Linked DNA regions of Drosophila melanogaster. The gene in region 1 interacts genetically with each later gene. Each region holds a gene or a part of one and is shown on either strand. Other genes may lie near its edges.

Region 1 (5,146 bases):
TGTATCCAGAGGGGGGTCTTATCAATATTATTATCAATTGTGAAGTATTAAATTTTTAGTGAATGTGTTTAAAATTGTTTTCTACGGGTAATTCTTAACAGCTCTTACCTTCTCAGTAATCTATTTAAAATCTTTACTTCTTCTCCATAGGTACAATCACTTTTAATTTCCTTCTTAAATCTTTGATATCATATCAAAGAATGACTTAAAAAGTGTAATATTGATAAAATCAATAACTAAGAAACTAACTTGAACTACCTCCATGGCTGCAGGAAGGGGATCTTGCATGCACACGAGCAGAAAGACCGGCGACGATGATTATGGTGATGATGATGATGATGATGACGACGATGTGATTGAAACAAAACATCTTATTATTACCTTACCTTCGACCGGCCAAAGGAACGACCCCGTGCGACCTCGACGTAAAAACAAGCGAAAAATACGAAATAAAAAGTGAAAAACAAAAAGTCAGACACACACACAGAGAGTGTGTGCAAAATAATTCCCACGCTCAGAGGTCCCAGAGCCAGAGCCTTTTGTCGTCTCGTCTCCTTCGGCGTCTCCTCCGCATCATCATCCCCATTATCATCATCGTCATCATCATGGTGCTCCAACGTGCCATATATGGCAACGTCCTTCCGACGGCCCCCTGCCTTCCTCCGCCCCTTTTTTTTCCGAAGTTTGTCGGAAAAAAAATAATGTACAAAATCGCAACAGTGACGAAATTTCTGAGGCCTCCTCGCTTTCTTCGAGTCCCTCTTTTCTTGTGGCCGGGCAAAGAAGTCTGCGTGATTGATTTCACTTCGTCCACGGAGTGGCGAACCTAATTTCTTAACTTTCACAGCTCATTGGGCTTGAAGAATCACTCGACTCACACGAGGACAGCTTGACAATTGACAGGTAAGGGTATCAAGTGGTTAGGGCTCATAATTATAGTTTTTAGTGATGCGGAAAATGTGAACCGGTGAGAATGGCCCCTTTTTCGGCATCTCCCTTTGGAGTTTCTGGCCCGAAAGTGCACTCAAGAAAATGGTCAATCTTAAAGTACTTAAATCTCTACATAAAGAATTTAATGTCATACATACATACATATTAAATCACAAAAAGGCTTCATCTTGTAATCTATAATGGATGTGTTTTAATTTATTATCTTATTATCGATATGTTCGGGAATAAAATATGTATAATTTTATATATACTAACTATTATAGCAACTATATCATAACTATAATTTTCCCTTGGCGAATTCCAGTGTGATGGTCCTGGGATCGAAATCAGTTTTATTTTAATACACCGAGTTAACCACAAAAGTGGCATGCCCAACTCATCTAATGAAAGTTTTTGCCCATTCGGGCAGATTATTTTACATTTCATTAATGTGTCGAAAAAGGGAAATGCTTTCAATGAAAGCTGCTCCCAGGCCCAGCTGCCTGTGTTCCCCATCATCATCATCATCATCCTCATTCTCATCGTCGCAACCATCATCATCATCATCATCTTTGGGTCCCGGGAATCTGGAATCTGTGTTATTGATCAGTGCTGCGCAATTAACTTAGCAACTTATGATTATGATTATGCTGCCGAATGGGTGGTGAGTACGAGGCATTACTCATGTATGGCGGTAAAACCAACAGGTTGACAGGACCTCTGTTTCGTTTCCATTCCGTTCCAATGCACTGAGCATATTTTGGAAACTGTGAAATCAATATATTTGATATTAAATATTATCTTATGAGGTTATTTAATGTATAAAATGTGGCTTTTACTTAGAAGTGTGCAACTAAAAAATTATTTATATAAGTAAGTATAAGTTGTTGGAAATTACTTATACGTTTATATAAGTATATCGTTCAAAATATATATAGGAAAGATAATGATATTAAAACGTTGTTTTTGCTTGCAGATTTCCATCGTTTGCTGCGTGACAAATGCACCTTATTTATTTCTCAGTGCAGGGGTTGCTTATCCACCACTGCGTCGGTGGAGTGGGCAGCTGTTTCGCTGCCGCCGCCGAGCGATAGTGGTGGTGGTGTTGGTGGTGAGTTGTGTTGCAACTTCAACTTGTTCCTGAGGGCCGTGGACGTCGATGTCGGCGAGCAGAAGCAACCTGACTCTGACTCGACTCGGTTATTCGCTCACCACTCGCGCTTGAATACGGACGTGTTTTCGGTTCGAAGTCAAAGTCAAAGTAGAAGGCGAATCACAACGGATCGGTCGAAAGTTCAGAAACTCGTCAATTGACATAAATTGAGTGCAATTTGCAGTGTGCGAAATGTGTGTCTAAGTGAAGCCAATCGACCAGCCAACAATTCGCCAGCTTCGCCGCCTCTTGTCGCGTGTTTCGCTCAATTCAACTACTTAATTAGTAGACATAAACAAATCGTGCTTTGAGTCCGACATGGCCGACGAAAGTCTGCACACCGTGCCCCTGGAGCACAACATAGACTACCACATCGTGACGCTATTCGAGCGCCTGGAGGCGATGCGTAAGGACTCGCACGGCGGTGGCCACGGGGTCAACAATCGCCTGTCCAGCACCCTGCAGGCTCCCAAGCGGAGCATGCAGGCTGAGATTCGCACGCTGGAGTTTTGGAGGTAAGTCAAGCCTGCCCTAGGACAAATACTTATATAGATATACGGGATTAACTATGTTATTTAATGACTGAAATTCGGAAAAACGTCTTTTGCCAAAAACTTGATATTTACAAGCGGCATTTTTGTCATAACTTCGCTAAAACTTCTCATATTGATGAAAGAATAACTGTTTTGAGCAGCTATTTACCAGAGCTATCGAACCCTATCACTTTTTGAAGGATTTAGGAAAATTAATTTTTGGGTGAATTTTCACATTTTTTGTAAGGGGTAACATCATCAAAATTTGAAAAAAAATGGCAAAAAAATTGAATTGTCGTTTTTAAATACAGTTCGATTAGGAATTTAATTGCGAGTTTAACGAGGTATAACATTCAATATTCAGACAACTATTTTAAATGTTCTGATAAAAAAACTGATAATTTTTGTGCAGAAAATTAGAGTAATGATTTGGGAAAAATGTCATTTTTACTAAGATTTTTTTAAGATTTTAAATAAAACCACAATCTGTTGTGTATGATCAAATACTTACAATTAGAGAGGGTAAAACATGATTGTATCTCGTATGCATATTAACTAACCCTTTTTAATCTAAACTAAATCTTCAATCTAAATGGCGGGGTTTTTTTCGCGTGTATATCATCTTCGAACCTTTTGTTTTTGTAGTCATTATCTGCACTTGCTTTCAATTTGCTCAACTTTAGATGGCAATTGTTGGATGTCAGCTGGCTTTGTCTGAACGCTAAGTAATTGAAATCCAAGTGTTCTCCAGACGCACATCATCAAGATAATCGCCAAACTAAACACGGCCAAAGTTTCGAGCACTTTGTGGCCCATACAAGGACCTTTTGCTCAGGGAACTGGCAAATAACAAACATTTCATCACGAGCTGATGGAGTAATTAAATCTTAGCCAGCAGCATGTCGAGCGCTTAAATTCCGGCTAAACTGCGGGACCCTTTTGTCTCAAGTCCTCCGACTGACCATTTAAAATGAAAAACTTGAACTTAGTGGGGAGCAGAGAACTTAGGCAGAAGTTGAGATACATATTTAGTTCCAATTAAAGTGAAGTGCCGCTGCCAAATTAAACAGCTGAATACATGATTTTATGGAAATTCATAAAGCCCTCGATTTGTTTGCATTTTCGTTATCGTGCAGCGGACTCTGCGCTTTTTAGCTTAATGTGAATCAACTGAATTCGGCAGCATTGCAGCTGCTCATCAGAACGCTTCCCCTAGAGCTCCCCCATCCGCTCCAGAACCCACTCGCAGTCCCTCCAGCTCCTCCTCAGCCTGCCCACCCGCCCCCTGCTTAATTGTCACTCCACGACTTGAGGGCAACAAAAAAGAGCTTTGTGTGCAACTTGATTTGTGCCGTACAGTAGATACCAGCTAACTTGGAAAAGTCTAGGGCTGCACGACAAAAACTTTGAAACGGATTTCATTTGATTTCAGTATGAATCCTTTGGCTCAACACGCTTAGCCTTACTATACTTAAGCGCTGAAATATATGTTTATGCAACCAATATTCACTGTACTGTACACATTCCACATGCAGTCGGTGGAGCCACATGCAAACCAAACCCAGTTGCGGAACCATGCTAACCCCGGGCTCGTTCGCCTTCTTCCATTCCTCTTCCATTCCAGATCCATCATCAGCGAGTGTCTGGCCTCCTTCATGTACGTGTTCATCGTCTGCGGTGCCGCCGCTGGCGTCGGAGTGGGGGCCAGTGTGTCGTCCGTGCTTTTGGCCACGGCTCTGGCCTCCGGCCTGGCGATGGCTACACTGACGCAGTGCTTCCTCCACATCTCGGGTAAGTCGAAGGAGACAATAAACAAGCGCAAAAACATCAACAGAATGGGGCGACAAGTGTCTCTTTTCGGGTTGCCCATTGGAATTGCGTGGGAAACTGCCGTTTTCAAGGGAGCCCCATGACCATAACCAGCCAGCACACGGAACCCCCTTTTTTTTTGTTTGCTATACTTTCGAGAAGGCAATGCACTCGGTGCGGCTCCACCTACTCCAGCTCCTTGGAATCTTATCGCCCCCGGGCCAAGTTCCACCACTTCTTTCTTTTTCCCTTATTCCCTTGCATTTATTCTGGTATTTATGTATTTGTTCATTTGCGTTGACATTCAAGGCAATTAAATGTCTTTACAAGTAAAAAAAGAAAAAGAGAATGAAAACAGACCAAAGACCAAAGTAATGTAGTTGGGACCCCATCGTGAAAAGCGTCTTGAAACATGTGTTCTTGATTTTCCTGCAACTCCCCCATTTTGTGTTGGCTTGCAATTCCCCGCCTTTTCACAGCCAATTGGTTGTGCATTAAGTTATGATGTTGTTCTATACGAAATGCCTTCCGAAGAAGTGTCAAATTGATATTAAATGTTGCTCCCCTTTGGGTGGCCACCACCAGAGATTGACGTCAGTATCTAAAGATATGCTTTCCCCTTCATAGGCGCCCACATCAATCCCGCCGTAACCCTGGCTCTATGCGTAGTGCGATCCATATCTCCGATCCGGGCTGCCATGTACATAACCGCACAATGTGG
Region 2 (4,957 bases), on another chromosome or scaffold:
GGAACCGACCAAAATACCCGATCTTTCATATAGGACAGTCACATAGGGCCAGCACTATATTCCAATTCGCGTAGGTGGAGCACCGACTTATGTAATACTCGATTTTTTGCTGCTCGTGCTATATTTGTTTTTGTTTATTTTCGTTTATTGTTGTTGTTGCGATGGGCTGGGGAAATGCGCAAAAGAGACGGATAGTTGCAACATGTTCGATTGCAGGGCGTTGGAAAAAAGTTAACTGCTGTAAACAGCGCAGGCCTTACAGAGAGAGAAAATGGGGGCAACTCGAAATGAGAGCGAGCGCGAGTCCTGGCGAGAGGAGACTTCGGCAAATGCCGGCCACGTGACATTGTTGCACTTCCTGGCCGCGCGCTTGTGTGTGTGTGTGTGTGTGTGTGTGTGGGCGCTTGATAAGCTTGCAACGAAGCTATTAATCAAAACAGAATCAAAAAATCCGCTTCGCTGTGTGCGTGCGAGAGAGAAACACGTGCCGGCCCAGTTAACAGAGGTCCTTTAGCAGCGCTCTGCTAACAACGCCGGTTGGCAACAGCAAACGTTGGTTGGCTTGGTTGGTGGAAAACTTTCCACTCGGCCTCTCTAATAATAGATTTTATCATTGCCGAGTAAACCGAGTCGGTGTATTTACTTCGTGTAATTAATGCCTGGCTGCTTTGCGATTTTAAGGTGGTTTAATCGGACGATTAGGTGGCTAGACGCTGGTATCAATTGGCCATTTCGCAATTTGCATTTTGTGGTAATCCATTTTCATATTGGTTGTCATTCCCGTAGGGGCAATGAGGCCGTATCGTGCCCCCTTCTAGCGGCGTATTAAGTCGATTGCAAGAGTCTCAAATGTATTCCGGCTTTAGTGCTCAGCTTGTTTGTCCAACACTTGGCACGCACACGCAGCTCCGCAGGTACAGTGTACACCCTGTAATCGGGATCGTAGCGAAAGCATATATTTAATACATTTTTGATAAATTGTTTGTTAGTTTTCCCTACTCATCAATTATTAACGTTAAGTTGCCTACTTATGTTTGCTATTCGTATTGAAATCATATTATATTCAATTAATATTTACTTAAAGTAAACATTGCCTTTTTAAAAATATATATATTTTCGTTTTCTAAAGCTAGTTAATTGAGTACCCACTGTATGTGGCAGTGTCCTTGTACTTTTACATAATAAATCAAACCCCACCGAAAGGAACGGAAATGAAAGTAAGGCAAGGAAGAGGAAGGAAACGAAAAGAAATGCCACTGCGGAAAGCCAAGAAAAGAAAAGTGCATTTGCACGCTAACAGGAGCTGTTACCATTTCACTGATAAGAGCCGGCAAGCGCGAACAGCTGTTCGAGAAAATCCTCGGAGAGAAAGCAGCCAAGGATATCGAGAGCATTTCTCTTCGCTGTAAACGGGCACTGTAAAGGCGGCCAGTTGTTGACTGGGAACTAAGCCAATTGCACAATGTGGGCCGAAGTTGATGTCGTGTTGCTGCTGTTGCTGCTGCTGCTGCTGCTGCTGTGTGTGTTGCAACACGAGCAACTACAAGTGCAACTACACAACCCTTCGACTGCAAGGACTTCGGCAGCAACGAGCATGTATATGTATTCCACCGAACCCACCATGTACTGCGTTTATGTGTTGCTGCTGCTTTTGCCTTTGACGCTGCTGCTGTCGCCGTGCTGCGCCTGCTGCTGCTGCGTTTCGTTGGTGCTGCGACAGCAGAGTCGTTGCAACAATCGCAGCTTGCACATCCAGCAGCAGTCAGTTGGACGCGGCGGCTCCTTCAGCAAGGACGCACAGCTCACACAATCCCTTCGAAGGAAATCAGCAGCCGACATACCGAACGACCTGCCACAACATTCCAATTCAAATCCAATCCAATCCAGACTTTGAAGTCCTGTAAAGCGTTTTACATTCCGCTTACATAAATGCTAGAGCGCTGTAAAAATCGGCGCTAGAAACGCCAATTAGCCAAACATGTTAGCCATGTTTTAGTCGGTCCTTTCGCGCTTGACTTGTTTTGCAACTGTGTGCGTACGTTTGAGTGTGCGAGTGCCGCCCGATTTTGTTTGTCCTTTTTTTTTCTGTTGGTGTCTCACCGAGTGCCGTTTTAAGCCAAGATACTACAGACATACTAGCGACTAGCTAATACATATTAACTTGTTGTGCCAGCGTTTTGTGTGTGCCAGTCAGCCTCTGCTGAGTGCATTTTCATTAAAGTCAACAAGTTGCAGCCGCATAAGGTCAAATAAAAGCAGGTGAGTCTGTGTTCCCGGCCAACAAGAGCCAGGTATTCCTATGTAAAGTTACTTAAAGTGCAGGTGATATGCTCTTCTGAGAGCAGATTTTATGTTGTTCAAATTGTATTAAGTGGTTTTGTGGAATACGTTAAGGGCACAGGTACAAAACCAATATTAAAAAAAAAACATTTGTTTGCTCATTTTCTTTGTATAAATATTTATTTTAACTAAGTCTTTTGAAAATTTTATAATGTGGGTTCTAAAAATATTTAAAGTGCATTCTCACTATGTGCTATCTATTATGAAGTACGTGTTTATCAATTAGGTTTTATATTTAAAAATGTTAGATAGGTTCGAAAACGTTGGGGTTTCCAAGTTTTAATATAAAATAAATATATTAAAATATTTGAGTGAGTATCCAAGCAGTTAATATCTATGGTACTGCAAGAAAATTCACTACGTTAACACATTTAAAAAATATTCATCCATTCACATCAGTACAGATGTATAAAATAATTAATAACAGGTCAGACAAATATATGGTCCTTATTTACCTTTAATAATTACAAAGAATTTTTAGAAAATTAAATCATAGAATCTACTGACAGAATTAAGATATACCTAAATTAAATTACAATAAATTATTTTTCTAAACCACATTGAGGTGTTTTGCAAGAATACTATACTGCTAAGAAACATTCGGTTCAGTTATAACAACAAAATCTTCGAAAACTTTTAACTAGCAAATTAAATTACAACAAAACCTAAAGTTGGCTGAGCACAATTCAAATTTCAGTTTCTTATATTTTATTAGCAAATATCAGTTTACTTCATCTGCATTTGATTCAGTTTATTCAGAAGTTCAGCAGACCAAGGCCAATTGCAAACTGGCTAATCCGTGTTACCAATTTATATTCAATAATATATTTGAGTACTCTTACATCTCCCCCGGCCAACATAAATTTGGTTTTTAAAGGCACCCAAAAATATTTTGACAAATTATGAGGTAGGAATGTGTAGTAAATATTTCCAGAGATTAAATGACAAGTCTAAAGGGAAAATATATCTACGCTCTTAATGATCCTTTGTAATAACTACAAATCTGTGGGCCGGGTGCATCCTGGCCGTGTCCTGGCCATGTCCTCAATTTCGTTGAGTTACAAAAGGTTTAAGTAAGTAAGCAAAACGGTAGGAATCGAGTAATCGCTCTCAGGGGCATAGTTTAATATTGGATTTGTAATGGAAATCAATATTGCCCGAGGAAAATTTATGCAGAGGCCAACAAAGAAAGCAAACCATTCAAATTGAACCGGGCCAATAAAATTGCAGTGCGAAGTTTGCGTCCGAGTTTGATTTGAGTTGTGCTGAATCGTCAGCCTTGGCATTGCCAATTTCATTAGGGGCCATAAAGGGAAAGAGTCCGCTTGTAATTGCAATTAGTTTTATCGTAACTTGCAGTTAAATAATCAAAACATTTTCCCAAGCTTCCGTCCCCATCGTCCGTCCACCGAAAACTCTTTGTAATGCAAAACTTTTTAATCCGACGCCTTGGTTTGTTTACACGAACTGCCAGCGCCCCGCCCACAGCGCCCCCGATCCCTATCCACACTCCAGACAATAACAACAACGTTGACAATAAAAACAGGATTGACAGGATACACCCCAGGAAGTCGATACGCTTAATACCCTTGCACGAAAAGTGCCTAAAAATAGATGGGAATCTATTTCGGTAGAAATTAGGATGATTTAAGAAAGTTACTCTTATTATATGAGTTAAAATAAAGTAAAAAGCAGACCATATCAACTTTAAATTAAAAAATGTGAACTCAAACGATGCAAGAGTATATAATATTTCAGTTAATCTTATTATGAAACAGAAAATCAAGTTAGAGCTTGTAAACTAAATGGATTAGGAAAAAATCGGGAGTATATATATTAATTTTTATAATGATTTGGCAAAATTATATTTTAAATTTCATTAGATAAATAGATACATCTCAAAGGATTTCCTTCGTAGAAAAAAATTGCTTGAAGGAAATGCTGAATAAACTCTTTAAATATTTTTAAAGTCGCATTTGTTTAATACAACTCCTATACAGTTGAGCATATTCTGAATAGCACTTACAAAAAAGTGCTTACCAAAGTTACTAGTTTTACTTCATAAAACAGTACTAGTGCGGCTGCATTTTCCTGAGAGGCTTGTAAAGTTCTTGTTGCAGCAGTGCGACTCCCTTTCAGGGTATGAAAATAAGAAAAATTTGCATATTTACACAAGACAATTTACACACTCTCCCAGTCGGCTGACTGAGTGACTGAGTGAAGGGCCCCTGCGAGGCAGGGACGCAGTTTTCCAGCGGGGCGCGGGAATGCGAGATTGAGTGGGTGGATTGAGGTTATTTTGTAAATTGTGTGTAAGCCGAACTGCTGCGACTGCAGCCTGATGAACAGCCAGTGCCAGAACCGTTACAAAAGTCCAACAAGTTGGGAGGTGGGAAAAGTCGGGGGAAGCACGGGAAAATATGGGTAAAATATGGGTGGAAGTAAAAGGGGGGGGGGTGGCTTGGGGCCAAAGGGCGGTCTGTAACGGATGACAAGGACAAGTGAAGTGAAGTGTCGAGATGGAGCTGCACTGGCGGCTGCTCGTGTTGTTGTGCGGCATGAATTGGGGATATATATACATATATATATATGTATGAATGCTAGTGCTCACAATGCC

What was found.
Region 2: of bib (region 1) and fru, changing one enhances a phenotype caused by changing the other (phenotypic enhancement), as found in Drosophila melanogaster (one study listed by BioGRID).

The regions. Positions count from the first base shown.
Region 1 is NT_033779.5:9,982,549-9,987,694, forward strand, and holds the start of bib (big brain), read left to right. Parts: upstream 1-2,096; 5' UTR 2,097-2,401; coding exon 2,402-2,598; intron 2,599-4,240; coding exon 4,241-4,407; intron 4,408-5,052; coding exon 5,053-5,146. UniProt on the Drosophila melanogaster protein: Essential for proper differentiation of ectoderm. Acts synergistically with neurogenic locus proteins Notch and Delta during the separation of neural and epidermal cell lineages in response to the lateral inhibition signal.
Region 2 is NT_033777.3:18,542,415-18,547,371, reverse strand, and holds the start of fru (fruitless), read left to right. Parts: upstream 1-1,785; 5' UTR 1,786-2,259; intron 2,260-4,957. UniProt on the Drosophila melanogaster protein: Probably acts as a transcriptional regulator.